Oryzias latipes: one gene and its partners. The protein of the gene in region 3 interacts with the protein of the main gene of each other region in a pairwise test. Links are inferred from orthologs where the notes say so. Each region holds a gene or a part of one and is shown on either strand. Other genes may lie near its edges. The genes, in order: rpap1, coil and polr2l.

Region 1 (8,063 bases), on a different chromosome or scaffold from region 3:
GACTTCTTTTATGTTTTAGGGCTTATTAAAGATGAAGCTGCTCCCCAGGCTGCGCTACATTCTTGAGGTGATGCGGCCGTCCCCTCGGGTGGCTCAGGACGTCCTGCAGATCCTGACCCGTGTGGCCCGACACTCGCTGTCATCTGCCACTGAGGTAAGAAGAGTGAAAGGAGCAGCTCACAAACTCACTGGATCACTCCAGCCCTTCATCTCCTCCTCAGGTGTTGAACTGTCCTCGTCTGATGGAGACGGTAACGTCAGAGTTTCTCCCCACTTCCTGGTCGGCATCTTCCTCACCCAACCCTCAGTCCATATATGGAGTTCCTGTGCCCAGCGCCATGAAGCTCTTGAGGGTCTTGGCTACATCTGGCAGACATAACTGTGCCAGACTGGTAATTATTTTTAATACTGGAAAAAACTGTCATTTTAGCTGCTTTGAGATGCATTTGAAATCAAATCACTTTAATTTATGTGGCGCCTTAATATGATTGCAGTCAAACAAACATTAAAAAAGCAGTTAAAGGGTTAAAACAATTACAAAGTAAAGTAGTGCAAAATAAAAATATATAATATAGTAAAATAATGACAGACAAAAAGCAGAGGTTAAATAAAAAAATACCAGCAGACAACCATCAGTTTAGATTATTACCATAAGTGTTCCTTCATTTCTTTTAAGTCTCAATCTTTTAATATTAAAGCATATTAATATGCTTTAATATGCTTTTTCCCAGTGGTCTTTTAGTGATGTTTATGCCGTTTTTAGGCTAAATCTAAAATCCTGTGTTGTTTTCTAGGACAAAGTTTCTGCAGAGCGGCAATAGTTCATTGGAAATTGCCCTCTGAGTTGTGGGTGGGACTGTTGGCATTGAGTAAGCTCGCCCTTTGTTGCTGTTGATTTGATTAAAAAAAAACTCAGAAAAATACATTTAAGATTAATTTTCTTTATAATGACACAACGATGACACAATGATTAAAGACTCACTCTGGAAGAGTTGGATAAATGCATAATCTGGTGGAGGTGAAAGTTTAGTTTCTATTGAGGCCAGAACAGGTGGATCGAGTTTAAACTGACACACTAAAGACTTATGGCACCAAATCTTGAATATATACCTGTGCCATCAATGGAAGAACTTGGACTTGTATTATGCTCAGGAAGTCAGTTACTGTAGATTTGTTTTCCTTTTTTCTGAAAAATCACATTAAAGATGTGATTTAAGAAGCTAGTCTGGATCAGAACTTTGTTCCAACTCCCCCTTACCCGGGCCTCTGGGAAACATACACATTTATTCATAACATTTATAACAACAATCACTACAGATATAATTTAATTAACTCTAGGAACAGAACGTTCTTTAAAAGGGTTTATGCTGCATCAAATATTTAATATTAATAAACCATAAATATCTATTTATGTTTTTTTTCTTTGTTCTACCACAGATTTTCTCCTCTGACAAGTTTTTACATTTATTTTAAAGTTTCTTACTCCAGTTGCCTTTAAAAATGATAGTTGATTATTTAAATTGTTTTTATTTTAGTCATGCTTTGGGCAACTTTTAATCCAGCTGAAGCATTTTCGGATCTTAGATAAAGAACTTTACTCATGGCTTTTTATATTTGTGAACAATAGTATGATAAGGTCATAAACAAGTTGGCTGCTCAAACATATTAACTAAAATATGTTTTTCAAGAGGTTTTTGCTTTTTAAGATGAATTATTTACGTGAAATTCATCCATTTTTTGGTTCTGGTGCAGGTGGAGTCCAGAGATGAGGGGAAGTGGCACTTTAGTCAAATTTGCACAGTTAAAGCTTCATTTAAAGTAAAGTACAAAATATCAGACAGGAAACTTCATGTTCTCATTTGTTTTTCAGTTTTCATGTCAAATAGAATTAAATCTCCTATATGGTTATATTGGATTAAGTCTATACTTAAAATTATATACAATTCTGAACTTTCAAAGTGAAGATTACAAAGGTCCCTAAAGTTTCTGCAGGAAGGAAGTGGAAGCCCAAAGGAGGCGGAGCTACAGCTTCAGGCAGCATTGATGCACAGGTGCTGCATGAATGTGGCGGCTTTGGTTTCAGTCTGTCTCAGCAGTTGCAGAGCAGCTGTGGCTGATAGCAGAAGGCTGGTTGTTAATAAATCAAAGCTCAAGAGGAAGGTGCAACATGTGCAAAAGCAGTTTCTCTGATGACACGAGGAAGAGAAAGAAACGAAATGGGAGATGCAGGCAGGTAGAGATCCATCATGTTTATTGTGTTCAGGGAAAACTTCACCTCCACATATTCTCACAGATTGTAAATAGAAAAAAATGCAGCAATATGGGAAAAAAGCAGACGTTTGTTCATCAAAGAGATAAGTGCAGCACACTAGCAGGCTGTTGGGTAAACTATTCTAGATGAAAAACCGATATGTGAGAGTTGGATTTGGGAAGCCAGCTTATAGTTTTTTAGAATATTGCCTGCACAAACAAGACGAGATGAGAATTTTGTAGTCTGTACATTTCATAAAGCTCACAGTTCCCTGGGACAACTCTAGAAATGACCTACCACAGGAATAAACTTCAAGGCAGAGTCTGCTGCAGAAGCAGAGGAACACAAACGGAGAGCTGAGATTGGCTATAAAGTTTTTTTTGGAAAGTGAGTTTACGCTCTGCTCACAGAGCTGTGTGTTATCACTATGATTTGGTTGCCTTGCTATTCAAACCTGTGCTTATGAGGGGTGTAACGTTTCATTGATTCAACGATTTCTTTTCCTACAATCCAACCAGATCGATCTGTCTGAAGCAGATCGAAAAGACCTAAATCCTTATTGAATATATACAAAATGAGATAAATTAATTAAACGTTAGGTTTATTTAACAGTGATGAAAGTCTTCCGGGAATTCCCGGAAATCCGGGTTTTTGAGCAAACCGAACGTACTTTCCGGGAAATAAAGACCTGATCTCTACGGACAAATCGCTTTCCGGATTAAAAAATGGTCTGAAATCAGCTAATTTTAGCTTTATTTTCTATATTTCTCCGCAGATCGCTTCCTCTATGGTCGTGGCCATCTCTCGTCTTCCGGGCCTAATTGACCAATGACGGGACGTTTTAGTTGCTTTCGGATGCGTCGATGGGTCTGATTGGCTCTGTCTGCACCACGTGGTCAGCGTGACTTGCTTCCCTAGAGACCAAAACTGGCGGACCCACGCTAAACTTTCACAAACACATCTGAAGAGTTTGCGATCAAATTTGTGTTAAAATAATGGCAGGCATCGTCATTATTGAGCCTGGTCACGACCTCAGTTGTGAGAAGACGATAAAAAACAAATTGAAGTGGTCTTGGCTGGAAAAAAAAGATTTTTAAGGTAGTGTAGGTCAAATACTTCTTTGTGTAAAATAATCTCAAAACCACATTTTGAAATAATTTCAACTTTAGTTTTGAGTTTCAGTTTTTATTTTGAATACATTTCTTTATCTAATTTATTTGTATTTCCTAATTACCATGATTTAGTTCAGTATAGTTAACATTAATTATAAGTATTTGATGGTTTGGACCCGCACTCCCTTAAAAAATAATGTTTACAATATTTAGTTTATTTTTTATGTTTGTTTTGATATTTCCCAGATTACTTAGTATTGGTGTTAAAGAATTGATGTATTATGTTATAGAATTATAGTTTAAAGCAGATCCCATATTTTGATGTAATTATAGTTTGAGAAAACAGTGCAAGTGGATGTTGTACATCAGTCATTTCTAAAGCAGAAATAATGTATAAATAACTGAGGTATTTTCATAGAATATCATAGTTACTGGTGTTCTTTTTGCCATTTGGGGCTTTGATGTTACTATATTTTAGCAATTGTATGTTTTGCAGCTTTAAGGAAAAGCATAGATTGTAGGATTGTGTTACTTTGAGCAATTTTCCAAATTCTTTTTTGGGACCAGCAAGTCCTTAATGGAGAGTCAAACTAGGGGTTTGAATGACAAATCATGATGCTCCAATTAGTCTTAGTTTCTTGATAAAGAAGTGAATAACTAGCTGCCAGAATGCACCAGAATGCATCTAAGACCACGTATTTTTCCAAAATTTCGCTCTGTGCCCGCCATATCGCTCAAAGAAAAGTTCAGGGATTTTTTCCTTACCTGACTTTCATCACTGTTTAACTATAACATAAAAACGACCAAGTGCATCACAGTAGACAGCACACACGTGACGGCAGGAAAAAATGATCAAGTCATTGATTTTAACAAAGACATGTGGCCACACGGTGTGCTAGAATGTTCTAATAATGTTCCCTTTGGACCATTTGGATGTGGAAGACCAACAGTGGGATGAACTTTAGAAAACTTAGATGTGAATGAATTTAACAGTGATTATTGTGTACTTATCTGTTTTTACACGTATTTAATTTACACATGATTATCTTGCAAGGAATGTGTAAAACCTCCCCTGCACTGTTCAGGACCCAGGTATTTATCTCTGAGTCACACTGGTTGAATTTTTGGCTAAAATTTCCTGGATCGATGTTTGCTGTTTGATTAGCAGCTTATCAGAAGTCTAGACAAATGTGTGACGGCGAGGCCAATCGATGGGTCGAAAGGTTATTCCAAATATTCGAATGACATAACGGACTATTTGTTGCTGCCACATTCACTTTTGTATTTCTCAAAGAGTTTTTAACTCTGTTTCCTAGTTGAACTCTCTGGGTGTGAAGGAGCGTTTGTCGCGTCTGCTGGGCGCTGAGCCCAGCGAGCTGCTGCTGGAACCGTCCGAGGCTCTCAGGGTCACCACTGAGGCCTACAGGTTCTGGGCGGTGGCAGCCGGTTATGGACAGGCATGCCAACTATACATGTAGGTGAAGCACTGAAGGTTACACTGTATACCAAAGAAAACACCTTAAAAGTAGTTTTGTGGTTAATGTTCTGTTAAATCACCTGTGATTTCACATTTGTTTTTTCTTGAAGAGACTTGTACTCTGCTTTACTGAAGTCACTCCAGTCTGGGCATCGCTTAGCGCCGCCCTCACACGCTCTCCAGCCTCTGCAGCTGCAGCGGCTCTCGGCTTTGCTTTCTCTGCTCACACAGGTCACACACGCAGCCGGCTGCCATCAGGAGTTGCAGGCTGGCGTCCTCAGGTACCTGCAGGATGATGACTCTGTTCTGGTTTGAAGCCTTCGTCTACATGAGGCTTTGTCTGTGTTCATCGCAGCGCTCAGGGGGAGGAGTGCCCTCCTCCGCCTCCTGTTTCCTGGGGTCACGTCTCGGGCTTGCAGGCATCCCTGTTGGGGCATCTGAAGGGTCTTGTCAAAAGCCTTGATAGTCCAGTTCAGGCAGATAGCAGCTTGACCCTGATACCAGCTTATCTGGTCTATCTCCAAGCGTACTACCAACAGCTCTCCAGACAGGTACTCCGTTCTGTCTTCTATCTGCAGAGCAATCGAGGTATTTCAAGTTTGAAGTAAAAACAAACAAATAATTTTATATTTTTCTTTTAATGCATATACAACAGACCTTTTTCAAACCAGTGGAGACTCTTCAGGAGCTGGAGCTTCTGACCTCCGATGTTCTTCTTCCACTTCTGTGTCACAGTGTTGTGCAAGGTCTGATGAACAACCTGAGGTACTTCTGATAACTCTGCTGCTCTTTTCTCTCAAAATGTACATTTTAAGGCTGTTTATTTTCATTTTCATCTTGTTTAGATCCTCTTCTTTGGTTTGCAACGTTCAGTCCCACCATCCGGGTCCAGAGACGACCTCGAATCTTCCAGGTTTAGCCTGCGCAGGATGGAAGGAACGTTCTGGGCTTGTTGTTCCCAGCTCCCCTTTTGCTCTTGTGATCGGATTGGGATCCCTCTTGGAAACAATCACAGGGATCCATAGAGGTCTCAGCAGCAAGGTGGAGTTTAACACATTATTATAACCCATTAATGTGGCATTACATTCAAAACATGTAGTGAAATTGTTACAAAGGTGTTGCCCTCTGGTGGTGAATAACAAAAACCTCTCATATCTGAGGTGTTGGGGTTGAGAGGACATTAGTTGTAGAATTCTTAAAACTTTAGCACTGCTTTTAAATAAATCATTTTATTAAATATTTTTTAAGTAATACAAAAATCTAATATTTTTCATATTTTATGAATAAATGAAAACAAGTAAAATGAATAAAAAATGAATTCCAGTTTTCTTTCTTTTTTTAAAGGGAGTTATCCATTATGTAAGCAAAGGGAAATCCTTTTTTACTATTTGTTAAATAATTTATTTCTTGGTAAGAATAGAGCAGTCTATGACAGTTTTTGTTTGTTGTACTTTGGATGACAGTCTCATAAAAAGTAGTAAAAAGTTGTTCTTTTTTTGTAAATGGTTACATTTTATATGAATTTTTTCATCTGTCCCTAAAGTTTTCTATTAAGGCCTATTTGGAGTGCTTTTCTTTAATCCTTAAATGCCTGAATTTCTTTCCTTCTTTCTAGTTCTCGAGCTTCCTCCTGTCAGAGCCTGTGATTGGTTACCTGCAGGCCTGCAGTAAGTCCACGCCCACTCTGTCTGTGTCCAGGGCTTGGCTCCTTCGTCACGAACACCTCCTCCTGTACCTGCTGCTGCGGATGGCTCACAGGCTGGTGGGTGTGGATCTACTTTGAGTTGTGGGGTAGATATTTGTCATTTTGAAAGAGCTGCATTGTTTCATTTTTCTTCCGTTTCCTTTTCTTTTTTAAACATTTCTCAGGTTCCTGTCGATGTAGAGGTGGCGAAACAGGCCTCACTTTATCACCAGGTGGCACTGGTGCTTCTTCCCTGGTTATTACCAGGCAGTGAATACTTGGCACATGAACTGCTGTCTACTGTTATATTCAACAAGGACTTTATATCGTAAGAAAAACTATTTCCTCTGGATAATTACACCTTTATTGTCTGATAGTTAGTCTAAGTTTTTGTTGTTTGTTTTTCTGTTAAGAGAGGGACACAGTGGAGGTCCAGAGGCTGTGGAGCTCGGGGAGCTAAAGCTTCACGACGACGTCAGACTCCACCCATCTCCATCTCTACAGACTGTTGGCGCTCTCCTCAGAGAAGCCTGCGTTCAGCTGCCGTCTATACGGGGCTGCTTCCTCACTCATCTCGCCTATCTGGAACCGTCTGTGATCGCGTCCCGAAAAGCCCTGCTTGGACGCAACCCGTGGATCAGTTCCCACCTCCTCCCGGAGGTCACGGGGCCCACCCTGCCATCTGACTGGCCGTTCCTCCCCCTCATCAAACTGTACGAGCAGACAGGAGTGTCTGGCGGCGGGGGGCTGGCTGTAGAGGAGCTTCCAGCGGGGGCTCTACAGGCGGCTGTCCACTGTTTGCAGTGGCTACTGCTGCTGGAGGTTTGGAGGGAGGAGTCCTTAAAGGTACAAAATCGAAGAATGCACTCATTTATTATCTGCCCTCAAGATTTACTGGTTTTTAATTCTTATTGAAAATATGAAAAGTCATTAGTCAAATTTGTCACCTTGTTTTAGCACACTGTCATTCAGTTTTAATGGGCCGTGCAAAATCCGTTTTTTTTAAATTTTAAGTTTATCATAATGTTCATTCCTCACAAAAAGAAACCCCAAAGGTGGTATTTTGATCCATGCACACATTTCTGACTATTCTTCTAAAATCCTGCGCTCTGAGCACCAGCCCCTCCCAACCCACAAAAACGAGCGGGTTCTCAGGAGCTGAGGTAGATGAATGAAAAACGGCGCTTTCCAGGAAGATTCTGCGCTGTACGCCCCGCCCCCAGGCTAACCCCCCCCCCCCACATTCTCCGCAGAGCTAGCTGTGATCAGCTAAAATGCCTTTATAAGGCTTCACAATATGCACATCCATCTTTGCAAAAGTCTGGCTGTTTGTTTTTGTGGGTGAAACACCCCCATAACTGCCAAGTGATGGGGGTGTGGACTTCCAACAAGCTCACTCCTGGTTGGCGAGAGTGGTTGCCATAGAAACGTTGACTCAGACCGACTCAGACAAATCCCACCTTGCTGACGTCGTCTGGGAAGAAGATGGCCACTGAATTGACGTCATTTAGCTTGAACCCAAAGTAAGCCATTTATATT
Region 2 (8,163 bases), on a different chromosome or scaffold from region 3:
AAGCTGGAGCAGCAGCAGCTGGAGCAGCAGCAGCTGGAGCAGCAGAAGCTGGAGCAGCAGCAGCTGGAGCAGCTGAAGCTGGAGCAGCTGAAGCTGGGGCAGGAGCAGCTGGAGCAGCTGAAGCTGGAGCAGCAGCAGCTGGAGCAGCAGCAGCTGGAGCAGCTGAAGCTGGAGCAGCAGCAGCTGGAGCAGCAGCAGCTGGAGCAGCTGAAGCTGGAGCAGCAGCAGCTGGAGCAGCTGAAGCTGGAGCAGCAGCAGCTGGAGCAGCTGAAGCTGGAGCAGCAGCAGCTGGAGCAGCTGAAGCAGCAGCAGCTGGAGCAGCTGAAGCTGGAGCAGCTAGAGCTTGAGCAGCTGAAGCTGGAGCAGCAGCAGCTGGAGCAGCTGAAGCTGGAGCAGCAGCTGGAGCAGCAGAAGCTGGAGCAGCAGCAGCTGGAGCAGCTGAAGCTTGAGCAGCTGAAGCTGGAGCAGCAGCAGCTGGAGCAGCTGAAGCTGGAGCAGCAGCTGGAGCAGCTGAAGCTGGAGCAGCAGCTGGAGCAGCTTAAGCTGGAGCAGCAACTGGAGCAGCAGAAGCTGGAGCAGCAGAAGCTGGAGCAGCTGAAACTGGAGGCAGCTGAAGCTGGAGCAGCAGAAGCTGGAGCAGGAGCAGCTGGAGCAGCAGAAGCTGGAGCAGCAGAAGCTGGAGCAGCAGAAGCTGGAGCAGCAGCAGCTGGAGCAGCTGAAGCAGCAGCAGCTGGAGCAGCTGAAGCTGGAGCAGCAGAAGCTGGAGCAGCAGCAGCTGGAGCAGCTGAAGCAGCAGCAGCTGGAGCAGCTGAAGCTGGAGCAGCTAGAGCTTGAGCAGCTGAAGCTGGAGCAGCTAGAGCTTGAGCAGCTGAAGCTGGAGCAGCAGCAGCTGGAGCAGCTGAAGCTTGAGCAGCTGAAGCTGGAGCAGCAGCAGCTGGAGCAGCTGAAGCTGGAGCAGCAGCTGGAGCAGCTGAAGCTGGAGGCAGCTGAAGCTGGAGCAGCAGCAGCTGGAGCAGCTGAAGCTGGAGCAGCAGCAGCTGGAGCAGCAGAAGCTGGAGCAGCTGAAGCTGGAGCAGCTGAAGCTGGAGCAGCAGCAGCTGGAGCAGCAGCAGCTGGAGCAGCTGAAGCTGGAGCAGCTGACGCTGGAGCAGCAGCAGCTGGAGCAGCTAGAGCTTAAGCAGCTGAAGCTGGAGCAGCAGCAGCTGGAGCAGCTAGAGCTTGAGCAGCTGAAGCTGGAGCAGCAGCAGCTGGAGCAGCTGAAGCTTGAGCAGCTGAAGCTGGAGCAGCAGCAGCTGGAGCAGCTGAAGCTGGAGCAGCAGCTGGAGCAGCTGAAGCTGGAGCAGCAGCAGCTGGAGCAGCAGAAGCTGGAGCAGCTGAAGCTGGAGCAGCTGAAGCTGGAGCAGCAGCAGCTGGAGCAGCTAGAGCTTAAGCAGCTGAAGCTGGAGCAGCAGCAGCTGGAGCAGCTGAAGCTGGAGCAGCTAGAGCTTAAGCAGCTGAAGCTGGAGCAGCAGCAGCTGGAGCAGCTGAAGCTGGAGCAGCTGAAGCTGGAGCAGCAGCAGCTGGAGCAGCAGCAGCTGGAGCAGCTGAAGCTGGAGCAGCAGCAGCTGGAGCAGCTAGAGCTTAAGCAGCTGAAGCTGGAGCAGCAGCAGCTGGAGCAGCTGAAGCTGGAGCAGCTAGACCTTAAGCAGCTGAAGCTGGAGCAGCAGCAGCTGGAGCAGCAGCAGCTGGAGCAGCTGAAGCTGGAGCAGCAGCAGCTGGAGCAGCTGAAGCTGGAGCAGCAGCAGCTGGAGCAGCAGAAGCTGGAGCAGCTGAAGCTGGAGCAGCTGAAGCTGGAGCTGCTGTTCTCCACTCTGGTAAATTCTGTCATCAGTTGTCAGATTTCTGGACGTTTGAGGTTTAAACTTTTGTTTGGGATGTTTCTAAATCCAAGCGGAGCCCCTCAGCAGTCAGATGTTTGTGACGTTGGAGGACGGACCTCACCTTGAAAGCGATCCTTTGCCCCGGCTGTGCAGGAGCGGCCAGCAGGGGCATGGAGCTGTAGTCCCGTGTGGGGGGGCCCCCGGCTCCATTCTGCAGACACACAAGCACCAGATTCAGACGTTTCCTCCGTCTGCAGCGTAAGAGAAAAGGGGCGGGGACTGACCTGGAGGAGCGGTGGCGTGTTGGTCGGGGAACGCGCCTGGAGGGGGGGCTCTTTGTCACTGTTCTGACCGCTGAGGCCCCGGCCTGCTGCCCCCCCAGCACCTCCACGCGCCCCCCTGCCGCCGCCGCGCCGTGACCAGAGGCCGTCCGCGTGTCTGTTAGGCTGCTGCGGCCGTCGGATGACCAGCTGGATCTCTTCCTCACTCCCAGCATCAGCAGGCTCCGCCCCTTTGTCCTGAGGGGGGGCTGCCTGGACCACATCTGTCTGTTTCAGCGCTGACGGAGCTTCTGGGCATTTGGGGGTGGGGGTACTTCCATCAGAGTCTGTTTCTGAGGACGATGAAGAGGGAGGCCGTGTGTTCTTCTGGGGGGGCTTGGTGTTTGGGGGCGTTTTGGAAGCAGCAGGGGTGGGGGGCGCCGTCCTTGCGGCAGTTCTTTTGGGGCAGTTGCTTTCCTCGCTGCTGGACTCTGTGGAGGAACTCTGCGTTTTGGCTGGGGCCTTCTTCTTGTTGCTTCCAGCTGATGGGGGGGCACTGGGCGGGTTTTTTCTGGGGGGGGCAGCAGGTGTAGGAGCAACAGTGTTACTTTTCTCCCCCTCCTTTTTCCTTTTCTTCTTGCTGCTCCTCCCCGGAGACGCCTCCCTCCTGTCAACCGTCTCCTGCTTGCTCCTTCCGGCCTCCCCCTCCTCTCGTTTCTTCTTCTTCTTCTTCTTCTTCTTCTTCTTGTTTTCAGCCAGCTGCCCCTCCTCCCCCCCGTCTCTCCGTCTCTTTTTGCTTTTGACTCCTTCTGCGTCTGCGCAGCTGCTGCAGCCGTTCAGCGCAGCCACACAGTCCACATTCACCCTGCAGAACAAGAAACATTTCTGCATGAAACGCATCCAGAACCGACCCGTTCTACAATGTAAACCCCCCCCCCCAAACCCACGCTGAAGAGAGCGTTCATAGTCAGAGGAAGAAGAAAGGCTCGAGCTTCATCTCAGACCGCACAGGCCTCAGGCAGTAATAGAAAAATGGCCTCCGTGGTGTCTGTGTGTACATTTCCCCAAACTGCATCTTGATCAACCAAGGCCCATTAGAACCATTGACTGATTCTTTAGAATTGGACCGAGCCAGTGTGACGTCATCCATTGAAAACGACTTCCAGCTCCAACCAAATGAAGTCAGTGCAGTCCCCATTCTTGTTGTTGCTAAACGAACACCGCCATGTTGGAGCCAGACAACATCAAGAAGCAGTGATTGGTCAGTCCGAGTCAATGTTTCTATGGCAACCAGTATCACCAATCAGGAGTGAGCTTGTTAGAGGTCCACACCCCTTCCACTTGAGAGCGGGCTCTGGAAAACGTGTCAATCAAATGTTTTGACCATTTGATGTGGGTGGCAAGGAGGCTCCGCCTACCTTTGTTGAAGCATCTGATTGGTCAGTTTAGAACTTGATTTACAGAAAAATATATCATGAATAAAAGAGGATTAACAAAAACATGTTTAAATAAAAGTATCAGATCCAGAATGTTTTTACTGACCAATAGAATGAATGACTAACAGCTGTTTATTTCTCAAGTCTGTGGGATTTTAGTTTCTGAGAGCCACTTCCTGTTTGGAATGCCAGGGGGCGGGGCCACTCAGTCCAGTTCTCATATTCAGTCAATGGTTCTGATCCTCCACCTGCAGACCGACAGATCCATGAAGGTCTTTGTTTTCCTGGTCTGAGCTGGAATCTGGGTCAGAACTGGACGGACGGATGGATCTGATGTTGCTGCTGTTTTGGTTGCACCGCTAACGTTGGGTTGGGGCTGTAAGCTAGTGGGAGAGAGTGTAAACTAGGGGATGATGGGACATCAGTGGAGGGTTACTTCTGCGCCACAGTCCCGCCCACAAGTCAGAGGTGAATTTCTGATGAACTTTTTGAAATAATTTGTCTAAAAACATTAAGATCACTGGGAACACTTTGAAAACAGACTAAAATGATCGGATTGGGCCTTAAGTCCTTCAGGTCCGGATATCTGTGGTGTCAGCCTGCAGGCTCGAACCGTTTCGGAAACGACACCGGCACATCAGGACCCCGCTGTGTGTGGGATGCGCGCGCACCTGACGCTGTCGTTGTCGCGCACGACGAAGATGCTCTCCGTGTGCGGAAGGTAGCAGTCCTCCACGAACAGGCTGAGGACGCTCCCGCGGCTGAACTCGAACTTCTGCCGGATCAGACCCTCCAGGTCCGCCACCACGCGACACGCGTTCCGGTCCACGAGCAGCCAGCACATGCGGCACCCCGCCACGGCCGGAGGGGGGTAGTCAAAGAGCAGCCGCAGGCGGATCAAGCTGTCTCCGAGCGCCGCCATGACACCCTCCGCGACAACACGCCGCCCCGCGCATGCGCAGAGGATAAAGCGCTGCTTTTGTCACGACACTGCCCTCTGCCGGTCCGGAGTGTATCCCATCTGCCTTTTCACTCGTTTAAAATTAAAACAGCATCCCATAATAATTCACGGGGCTCTTTAGGGAGATTTACAAGGATTTTTAACTGTTCTGTTCAGAGTTTGGACAAGGAGGCCTGGATCTCAATAATTCTTCATCCAGGTCAAAGACCCACTCAGGATAAAATCGTGTTGTTGTTTTTTTAGCATGTTCTTTTAGCCTTTCTCTCATGATGGAGGGCATCATGAGGATCACCAGGATTCAATCGTGGCAAATCAGGCGCAGATTTCTAAAATGCTGTTTGAAAACATTTGGTCCCTCCTTTGTTCAGACTCTTGTGATAGTGGAATTGTCCAAGGGGTTTTGGATTGATGAAGCACAAAGAGTTATTTTCACTGAAAGTAAGGAGCCAAGCCTTAAGCCTAGCTTCTGAAACTATACATAAACCCACACCATGATCCTCCCACCACCAAACCTTACTGTTAGCACAATGTAGACAGACAGAGACACTTTACAGCACTAGGTGATGGATAACTGACTGCAGATGGTTGCCGTGGAAACCATGGTCCGTGACCTCAGTGACCTTCGGGGAATTTTGGAATGAAAAAAAAAATCTCACAATGAGAAAAATTCTTTTAAAATTTTGATGTTTCAGAAACTTAGGATCTTCTTTTTTTCTGTCTGTTTTCTTGTTTTTAAAAAACTCAAAAAATCGGAGTCAGCCGATCAGCTGACTCCTGGGCGTGGTCATGTGACTTTTGGTCACGTGACTCGTCATCGGTGAAGTCCCTCTCCGCCAGTTTGCAGCAAAAATGTGCGGCTCCGTGGTGCTTTTCTGGCTCTGCGCGTCCGCTGTGCTCGTCCGTGATGGTGAGTTCCGTGGGTCGAGCAGAACTTCTTCATCACTTCTTCTCCCGCCTCCAGATCCTTTCATCTCTGGACTTGTCCTCGCTTCAGTAAATCCGATGACTGTCAAACGAAAGTAACCTCGGTTTCTGTCGGTGTGCGCATGCTCGTCAGGGTATTTGCTTCTCACCTGTCTGTCCGCAGGGCTGTGCGCGCCCCCGCCACCCAAAGAGGCGTGGAACTACGTGGAGGTGAGGGACGGGGCCCACATGTTCTGGTGGCTCTATCACGCCGACGCTGGGTTCCGGGAGCTCCCGCTGGTCATGTGGCTGCAGGTGCGTGCGTGTGCGTGCGTGTCTGAAGCTGACACGAGCAGAGATGACCTGAGCTCAAGGGTCTTGATCTGTGGGCTGAAGCTGTTCTGCTGGTGATGAAGATGAGAGGAGGGAAACATTTCCATCAGCACTTTGAATCTACAAGGAAGTGCATGAACTAAAATAGAGAAAAGTAGAATCCATGGAGGATCTATTGTCCAGGTTCTGCAGTCTGACTTCTGCTGGAAGGCGAAAAAAACCCTAAAAAGGTGATCCGATGACTGAATGACTCAGTCACGTTACAGGAAAACCTATTTTTATTTAAGTGACACAAAATCTCCAACTTCCTCAAAATGAGAAGCTGTCAAAAATCCCCCTGATGTCCTCCGTTTTCCTCCCTAAAGCATCAGAGGAGACAGAAGAGGTTAAAAAAAGGATAAGAAAAAGAGAATATGAATGTCTGTGAAGAAAACCAGGAAGTGAGTTCCTGAGTGGAGTCGGTCCGTTCTGCTGTGAATGATTCATAGAGCTGCTTCAGCAAAACGGTTCCGTCCCTCTTCAGGGAGGAGGACCGACACGGACAAGTCCAGCGGAGGTGGACTATGGTATAACTAAGGGAAATGAGTGGACTCTGCAGAACCGTCCGACGGTTCTGATAACCAACCCCCCTGTCAGGCATTATCCCGCTTATACCAAAGTCACCAATGAAAAAGATAAATAGGAATTCAATTATTAGTATCTTGTTGTTTTGTTTTTTCACCCAAATAAACCACCAGACTCTATGCCATGCGTTGTCATGGTAACGGCTACTGACCTCGCTCTAGAGCAGGTTAAATAAAGCATCAGCTTTGAGAGAAAGTTCTCCTCTTACCGCTCCTTTTAGTCCAGATGATAGTATGAAAGATAAAGGTTGTTTTTAGAAGAAACCAGCGAAGGGATACACAACATTTAGGCCGTGTGACCGGAACTACTTTTTCAGGCGTCCATTATCACTTTTTAATGGGCATCCTGCAGCCAATCAGAATGGAGGTTCTGGTGGAAACCTCAGCAGACATGAAGGGGGGTGTAAGTCGGCATGAGACGCTGCTGTCCTTCACCGTCAGGCCTGGGAGGGGTTGAGAAATGAAAACGAGTTCAGTTTGACCTTTCCCCGCTTTGATGCCGACCTTTTCATGATGTAGCATCGACTTTGTACAGTTGTTGTTGTTTTGTGTGAACGGAAAATTTCAGATCTAAAACCAAACCCTGACAGTTTTTACGGTTGAAGTGTAGAACGCTGCGGGAAAAATCTGCTGGGCAGAAGAGGCCTGAGAGAAGCCCACATTATCAGCCCTCCACCACCGTGCCTGACAGTTGGTCTCATGTGTCCACAGATTGGTGAATCTGGTTGGTTTTGATGCAGATTCATTTCAGCAGCTTTAGATTCATCTTTTCTGTTGAGCCATTAAGGACAAAGAGCATAAAGCAGAGGTCACAGGGGTCACAGAGGTCAGAGGGGTCACAGAGGTCACCATCTGCTGCAATCGCATCTTTTTTTGGTCATGTTTTTCCTACACGAAACAGCACATTTGGAAAGAAATGATAAGTTTTTTTTAGGTCTAACAGCAAACTCTGCCGTTCTCAGGGTGGACCCGGGGGGTCTGGAAGCGGATTTGGAAACTTTGAGGAAATCGGGCCCTTGGATCGGGATCTACAGCCCAGAAGCACCAGTTGGGTGAGAAGGTTTTTCTTCTGGAGGGAAACAGTTGGAGCCACAGTGGAGCCGTTGTGATTGGCGGACGTGTCTGTGAGCTCAGCGTTTCCTTGGTCCTGTGTGGGGCTGCTGGGAAATCATGGAACAGAACCAGAGTCTGGACCACAGACCTGAGGCCGCTGTCAGGAGGAGGTTTTTCACACCTGTTTCCCCTGCAGGTGAAGGCGGCCAGCGTGCTCTTTGTGGACAACCCCGTGGGCACCGGCTTCAGCTTCGTGGACCGGGCCGACGGCTTCGCCACAGACGTGTCCATGGTGGCCTCGGACATGCTGGTGCTGCTCCAGAACTTCTTCACGGAGCGGCCCGAGTTCCAGGTTCCACAGCTGCCTTTCACACGTCTAAACCACCAAAAAGGGGCTCATGGGTTCTGGCAGCAGTTTTTTCTGTAAGCGATCTAAGTAGATCTCAGGATGATCAGAGACTCTTTTGGTCTCCACAGAGCATCCCCTTCTACATCTTCTCTGAGTCGTATGGAGGGAAGATGGCCGCTGCCATCTCCTTGGAGCTCACAAAGGTGAGTGATCTGCTGCTGCTGCTGCTGCTGTGGTGGCGGCGGTCTGCTGCTGTTTTTAAGCCCTCCATGTCTGGTACCAACATCGTGTCCGTGTGTTTTCCTTACTGTAAAGTCCCTCAGACTTCATTCTCACTCCAGATCCGTCTGGCAGCTGCTCTGTGTCTGATCTGCGTCTCTCCTGCC
Region 3 (7,147 bases):
TGCTTTGATGTTGCCTCTCTGTTGCAGCTATGCAGAGTTAGTGGTTGAAACAGAGGAGTCCCTCAAAAAAATGCTGGAAAGAATACCAAAGTGTAAAATCAACGGAGAAAGGATAGACTGTCGCTTTGCCACCCGCCAGAATCTCGTTATGTTTGAGGATGTTGCAAATAAGCGTAAGAGCACCACGAAATTAAGGGAATAAAACATTTATATCAATATATGAATACCAGTTTTTACTAACAGTGTATTGTCCACAGGTATACCTCTGCGCCTCAACTCAAGTCCCAAAGAACCTAATCTGGCAGAAAACTTTCCAGCTCCGTTTTCATCACAAGAGTCCAGTCCTTGCCCCGCTCCACTGCCACCGCCACCGCCATTTCCACCTCACCTACCTCATCCACCTCATCCACTTGCAAACAGCTTCCCTTCATCCCCAGTTCCTCCTTTTCCTTTCCATCCACCTCCACTCTTCCCACCAATGGCTCCAGGAATGTCACAACTTTCACCACCCTGTCTTTTTCCTCCTCAAATTCCCCAATGCCCTGGACAACCCTCTCCTAGTTTTCATTTAAATCCTGCATTCTTCAACCCACAAGATGGATACAACAACAATGCATACAGCCAACATAAGTAAGAAACTCATCTCATATCTCCAAAAAAAAATGTTCCTTTTGAGAATTTCTTTGAGATCAAACCAACACAACCAGGAATAGAGCAGGCTACATATCAAAATGTCTGATTCCCCTCAAATGGAATACGCTTAAAGTTGTTATTTTTCATTATATTTGGCAAGTTTTGTCTGAAGTAACTGATTTTGTCTTCGCTGTACAATAACTGCTGTTTGTCCAAAGATCACATGTTCCAGATGGAGATTTCGAGGAGCTAATGAACAGAAATCAAACCATTGCCAGCACTGCAATCACAAAAGCTGTGTCTGGAGCCACAGCTGGTAAGTTCAACTTATGAAATTCTAAAGTAAAGTGCAAGACAGAACGCTCGTGGGGAAAAATTAAAACGGAATGCACAGTTTCTAACCTGTTAGTTCCTAGAGACTGTTGAGTAGCTGAATATCACTATAAAATATTTATGATATTGTTTTAGCTTTTGCTGAGAGTGCAGTGTTTAGTAAATCCAAAACAGAGAGCTGACATAAAGGAAATTATTGATATAAGGCTTTTTGATGTTGAATTTTTTTATTACGATGTGGTATATTGCCTCTCTGCAGATCATCTGTTGTTCTTCCAGGCTAGATGGAGAGCATCTTTAAATCTCACTTTTACAAAAAATGTTTCCCCTGACATGGTCAAGAAAACAAAGAGATTTATCTCTGAGACATGTATAGTCTTGCTAGTGGGCTCACAAACTTTATGAGCCCTCTCAGTCTGACTCTTTGGCTCTAATAACCAATCTGCCTCAGCTTTCTGTAGCTGGGTTCTGTTGCTATAGTTTTTACTTTACACATGTTAGGCAGCTGGGTGTCAGTGCGGAGGAGCATCGCACAAAATGAAAGAAGTAATATGAAAGTTTGTTTCTGCAACTTCTCATGCCTTCAAAAGAAGTTGGATCCTCTTAAAAGCTAACACTGCATGCCTCACAGTTCAGTCAAGTTTGGTGAAATTGTTAATATTGTGCTTTTCTGTAACTTAAAAAATTCAAAATAGAAAAAAAAAATCTATCTCTTGACAGGATCTTTAAAGAATTTTGCCCACTTCGAGCTTAATGTTACTTAAAATTAGTTTTCTTCTATGTGTTTTCTGTCCAATTGCTACTCCAGGAGATCTACAAATGGCCATGGAAACACTGTTAACCGCCATTGCAGTTATTAAGCAGTCCAGAGTGTACGGAAATGAACGCTGTGAAGCCCTGGTCACCTCCCTTAAAGACTGTTTGGTCTCCATTCAGGGGGATTATGGCTACAGGTGTGTACATTTCTTCATTTGAATGCTTTTGACTCACTTGAAACTAACCATTTAATAACACATTTGCTGTTTAATGAGTTTTATTCCCATTTCAATGGTTTTTCCCTCTAGAAGAAGTAGTCATTCTAGAGAAAAAGAAAGAGGTCGTGACAGAGAGAGGGAGCGGGATAGAGAACGGGAGCGCGACAGAGAGCGGCACAGAGATCGCGACAGAGATTACTTCCATAGCGGGGAAAGTGCGGGAATGTCCCAGAGACGCAGGGAGCGTTCCTGGAGTGAAGAAAGGGACAAGAGGTGGTCTCGAGAACAGCAAAGGGATCGACACCGCTAACGGGGAACGGTAATAAATACATAAGCCATTACTTTATGAATTTTGCACTTCTTTTTTAAGTTTCACTGGAAAATTCTTAGTTCCACATAACTAGTGATGTAAATAACGCTTTTATGCGTGGCCATTTTTGCTTTAATTTGAATAAAATGAGAAAAGTTGGAATTTTATTAAAATAATTCTAACATTAAATTGTTTTTGTCTTTGAAAAAACTGCTTTATAGCAAACAGCACTTATGGATTTCATTTATCAACAACAGCTTCTCAAAGATGAAAATCAGTTTGAAATCGATTAATATTTATTTAAACCCAGAGTTTTTTTCAATACAGCTATTTCAATTGTGACCAGAAAAATGCAGAGGGGAGATTTCAAGTTATTTTAAGTCACGCTTTTATGAGCGTAATTTATAAAAAAAATCAGGAGGCCAATTCACCAGCCACATTCTTTTTTCTATATAATTTAATCAAAACAAATCCACTGTCTGAATTCTGCTCTTTTTGCTGTTTGAAATGGCTTTATTTATCACAACTGAATCTTAGTTACACATCTCAACAGCAGTTGTGCTGTGTGATTGTTAAAAAAAATCTGTAATTTGCTTTGGACCAATTTAAAACTTGAAAGGGCATTATGAGAGTTTGCTTTTTCCAAATGCTCTATTATAAATAAATTGTTGTAAACATTTTAATTGTTGGTAACAAAGTGGCATTGTAATTTGCTGAAAACCTTCTGCACATTCACTATAACTCTTCAAGAGTTAAAGTTCCAACCGCCATGACGATGTTTTGTTCTTGCTTCCCCAGATTGGAGGCAGAGGAGCATTGTTGCGTCGAGTTGTATATAAAAGAATCAAGGATTGTTTGTTCAATCTGAGAACACGGTTTTGTTCTTCCTTTATATAATAGGACTTGTTTTAACAAAAATTGGCTGTAGATTTTTTCTTGTAAAATAAGACTTTGTTTGCATGCACCATAACAATTCTTTCTGTAATCATTGTAATTTCACATTTCTTTTGGTAGAAAATCTACAATTAAAAAAAATCCCAAAGTATTCTCGTCTTATGTGCTCTGCTGTTGAATAGTATAACATTATTTGTTTGCATGTTTTCATAAGTACATAAAGTGAAAGGTTGAGCGATTTAACTCAACGCCTCAAAAATTAGATGGCATCTCAACTCAGTGAATCGAATACTTTAAAGAAAAAACTTTATTTAAATAAAATTTTCATTGCCACATATGTGCACAATACACCAAGTCATTATTGTTGACATTTCTTAAACACTGAATATATGCACAGGCCATGTTCAAAGCATGTTCTTCCAGCTAAAATTTTTCCAGCGGTGCATAATTTAACAATTTCTCAATAAGATCCACATGGGAAAGCAGCATCCTCCGACAGCAGTACCTCTTCAGGCCCAGGGCATCAAGAGCATCACTAGAAAAGGGAAGATGGAAAAGTAATTTTAGTGCCAGATATTGCTTGCATAATTACAGAAAAAAAAAAAAAAAACATTTCTATAGTTAGTTTTAAATGTTGTATCCTCAAATGGTCTGAATTCAAACTAACATCTTGACTGACAGTGAAACAGGAGGAGTAGAGGTTGAATGAAGGCCTTTATTTAGTTTCAGAAAACTTGACCATATAGCATTACGGTGACACATTGTTGAACGAACGAAACATGAAGGTAAAATGAAAATGAAGCGCATCTGTCTCACCCTTCAGTGTATTCGGCCTGAAGAAGACCAAGGTAGGCTTCCCATTTGTTCCCCACGATCTTCCCACAAGTGAAACACCTCACCGGGATAATCATTTCTGGATGCTTGAAGAAGGAGCCAAACTAAGATATTCAATCCACAATAAATAATATAATCAACAATCAAATCAATAATAAAAAAAAATTAAATAAACAAAAACATGCCAATATGAATATGGTCATATCTGAGAAAGGGTAATTATGTTACACATGTTCCTACAACATAATTCCGCTTATGATGCTAGCAAATACTTCTAAAGGAAGGTACCAACACGTTGTTTAGGAACGTCGTAACTAAAATGAACGCAAATATCTTGCGCTACAATTTCTGTAAACGATATAATATAATTAAGTAACTTGTGTTTAAATTACTGAGATTTAAAAAACAAAAAGAAAGGCCAACGCTAGCCGCGTACATGCAGCTAGCCTAGCAGCACGCCGTCGTTCACATGCTTCCCAAACTCGGGTACAAATGAAATAAAAATATTAGTAACATTACGTTAAAAAAGGAAGTTGTTAACTCACCTTTATTGGTCAAGTTTGTCCAACACTTAAACAGCGTTATTTGTAATAATAGTAGAGACAAAGTTTAACCGTTGACGATATAAACATCACAGCTCAAATAACCATTTCCGGTGTAATACAGAGCTTCCGGATGTGATCCTACAAAATAAAACTAATTTAAATAAACCACTAAATTTAGGTAAACAATGCTGTTGAGTTTAACTGCTGTGTGTTCATTTTCTGTATGTAAAACACAACTTTAGGATTTAACAAAAAAATTATTTTATCGCGTAAAAGTATTTGTTACAAAAACTGACGCGTACGATTTGCATTTTTACTATATATATATATATATATATATATATATATATATATATATATATATATATATATATATATATATATATATATTTTTTTTTTTTTAAAGAAGGTAGCACATTGTCTAAATACAACCTGCATCGGCCCTCAAATATTGAGAAATCTGTTCCTCAAACCAAAATAAAATCACATCTCTCTGGGTGGGTCTGTAATAATACCAGTTAATCCCAGACGACATATGTGTCCAATGATTAAATGCTTTAATTTAAATCACCTACACATTCATGTTCTATGATAAGGAAACAACTACATTTATATGGTATATGTATTCACCAACATTTGTCTATATGCAAATATTACTTTTTGTTATTTGAGGATTTCTCTGCAATAATTTAGAAAACATTCTAATGTTGCCACAGTCATGTGAGTAAAATAAAATAAAAAATCCTTATTTGGGAATTGGCATAAAATGCAAATCCCAAAAAAATCCTCTTTTTCTAATCTTGACTGTAGATCTACAGCTTTCATTTTCAAGTTTAAATATTTTCATTTGGATAGCTTATTAGCCAATACTTTCTGTGAAACTGTTGCTGTTTATTAACTAATCTTTAACTGTCTTTCCTTATTTTCATTTGCAGAAAAAAAAAGTTGTGAACATAAATCAAATGTAAATCTGATCTAAGCCTTAGTCTCATCTAGATTTCTCAACATACCAGTATTCAAAAGTACCGGTACCCAATTCCTTTTTTATATTTGTTGGCAGTCCATGTTAAAACTCTCTTGAACTTACAAGATTCATTCATTCATTCATTTTCTTAACCGTTTTTCCCTTTCGGGGTCACGGGGCTGCCGGAGCCTATCTCGACCACTTGTGGACAGGTCGCCAGTCTGTCACAGGGTAGAACTTACAAGATCATAAATTTAACTGAAACTCACATTTCTACTAATATAATTGCTTTGATAATTCTTGTGCATTTAAAAAAATAATTCAGACTGGTTCACTTCTTTTATTGAGGCTGAAGTTTAAACTCTTCCTTTTTTACATTTAGACATTTGGGGACAAAAGCCGGGCTGCATTATGAAAATCAGTTAAAATATAGAATAATAAAATATCCTTCGTATCATTCTAACAGACACAATGATAACTATCATCATCATTGGCATCATGTATTGTCACCAACATCGCCATCGTCAACACCAAACATTATTACATCATCTATGCAATTTAACTTGCTACAGCACATGTGCTAAATGAATAGTCCTACCTGAATTATTGCATTTATACGCTGTTAAAATTATGAAAATAAGAATTTTTCCTTTTCTTTTTTTGGTACACTATATTGTACAATGTAAGGTGAAATTTACTTTGGTGCTACTATCTTCTTGGACATGGTAGGGGTTGGAAGGGGTGGCTGTGGTGAGTGTTTTATGATAATTTTCTGTCAGAACTGAGCGCAATATCGAAGTTCCTCTACAACTTAAATTATGTGTGTGTTTGTTACCACTGCCTTCCTTCTTCCTGTTTTCATGAAAGCAGAAACTCAAATTTTATAATTCAAGCTAAACAGACATGCTTGTGGAGCTGTACAGGTGATATTTCGGGCAATAAGACTGCATGGGATAGACAACCAGTAGACATGTTTTGGCAACTTGATACTGCAACACTAATGGCTCTTAAGCAACAATGTAAACAGACAGATCTGAGATGGCTGATTGTATTTTGCATGGCATGAAATGTTAATGATTCCTCTTAGCATTTTACAGTAGAGCTTTTCATCTCTTATTTTTGTCTCCTTCAAAATACAATTTAACTTTTTTTCCCCCAAAGTGTACAATAATAGTCCAACAATTAAATACTATCCCTAAAATGCTGCATGCTTCTATGTTTTGTCTTAAAAAAAATAGTATATTGATTTTAATGTACAAATGTTTCTTTTTTGTTTAACCTTTTATGAAATTCAGTCTCTTCTAAACTGCATTCAGAAGTCTAAACTGTAACTGAACTAGATAATTTGGTTCAGGCGTGGTGCACATTATAGCTCACAAACAGCCTAACTATGTTCACTGATATTGGTGTCTGTGACAGAACCGACTTGTCCAAAAAGTAATCAAAAATAATACTAAAATACTTTAAAAGCAAACAGTTCCAAACAGAGATAGGCCAGTTTTTCCATACCAGATGTTTGTCATAAAGTCTGCTTATAGATTAGTAAGTTGTGTAAAAGGGTAGACATTTTTCAAAGTTAAATATGTGCCTTACTAAATCACTGTGCACAACCCTGCCTTTTCTTCTGCCATCTCTGCAGAATGATTTCTGTTTCCTCCTG

Evidence for each region.
Region 1: the proteins of polr2l (region 3) and rpap1 interact in binary tests that used the Homo sapiens proteins (3 or more experiments, as listed by UniProt). The link is inferred for Oryzias latipes from reciprocal best matches to the Homo sapiens genes POLR2L and RPAP1.
Region 2: the proteins of polr2l (region 3) and coil interact in binary tests that used the Homo sapiens proteins (3 or more experiments, as listed by UniProt). The two-hybrid records come from large-scale screens. The link is inferred for Oryzias latipes from reciprocal best matches to the Homo sapiens genes POLR2L and COIL.

What each region holds. Positions count from the first base shown.
Region 1 is NC_019880.2:11,592,707-11,600,769, forward strand, and holds part of rpap1 (RNA polymerase II-associated protein 1), read left to right. Parts: intron 1-19; coding exon 20-154; intron 155-221; coding exon 222-392; intron 393-4,679; coding exon 4,680-4,837; intron 4,838-4,950; coding exon 4,951-5,121; intron 5,122-5,195; coding exon 5,196-5,391; intron 5,392-5,495; coding exon 5,496-5,605; intron 5,606-5,685; coding exon 5,686-5,881; intron 5,882-6,455; coding exon 6,456-6,602; intron 6,603-6,709; coding exon 6,710-6,852; intron 6,853-6,937; coding exon 6,938-7,370; intron 7,371-8,063. UniProt on the Homo sapiens protein: Forms an interface between the RNA polymerase II enzyme and chaperone/scaffolding protein, suggesting that it is required to connect RNA polymerase II to regulators of protein complex formation.
Region 2 is NC_019866.2:24,976,394-24,984,556, reverse strand, and holds the start of coil (coilin), read right to left. Parts: upstream 4,618-8,163; 5' UTR 4,478-4,617; coding exon 4,227-4,477; intron 2,985-4,226; coding exon 2,144-2,984; intron 2,071-2,143; coding exon 1,981-2,070; intron 1-1,980. Other genes in the region: scpep1 (retinoid-inducible serine carboxypeptidase), read left to right, coding at 5,366-5,423, 5,604-5,734, 7,338-7,427, 7,625-7,780, 7,906-7,980. UniProt on the Homo sapiens protein: Component of nuclear coiled bodies, also known as Cajal bodies or CBs, which are involved in the modification and assembly of nucleoplasmic snRNPs.
Region 3 is NC_019861.2:18,857,825-18,864,971, forward strand, and holds polr2l (DNA-directed RNA polymerases I, II, and III subunit RPABC5), read right to left. Parts: upstream 4,656-7,147; 5' UTR 4,524-4,655; intron 4,083-4,523; exon of another isoform or gene 4,065-4,082; 5' UTR 4,056-4,064; coding exon 3,961-4,055; intron 3,680-3,960; coding exon 3,568-3,679; 3' UTR 3,429-3,567; downstream 1-3,428. Other genes in the region: cpsf7 (cleavage and polyadenylation specificity factor subunit 7), read left to right, coding at 28-173, 258-630, 852-949, 1,775-1,919, 2,031-2,250. UniProt on the Homo sapiens protein: DNA-dependent RNA polymerase catalyzes the transcription of DNA into RNA using the four ribonucleoside triphosphates as substrates.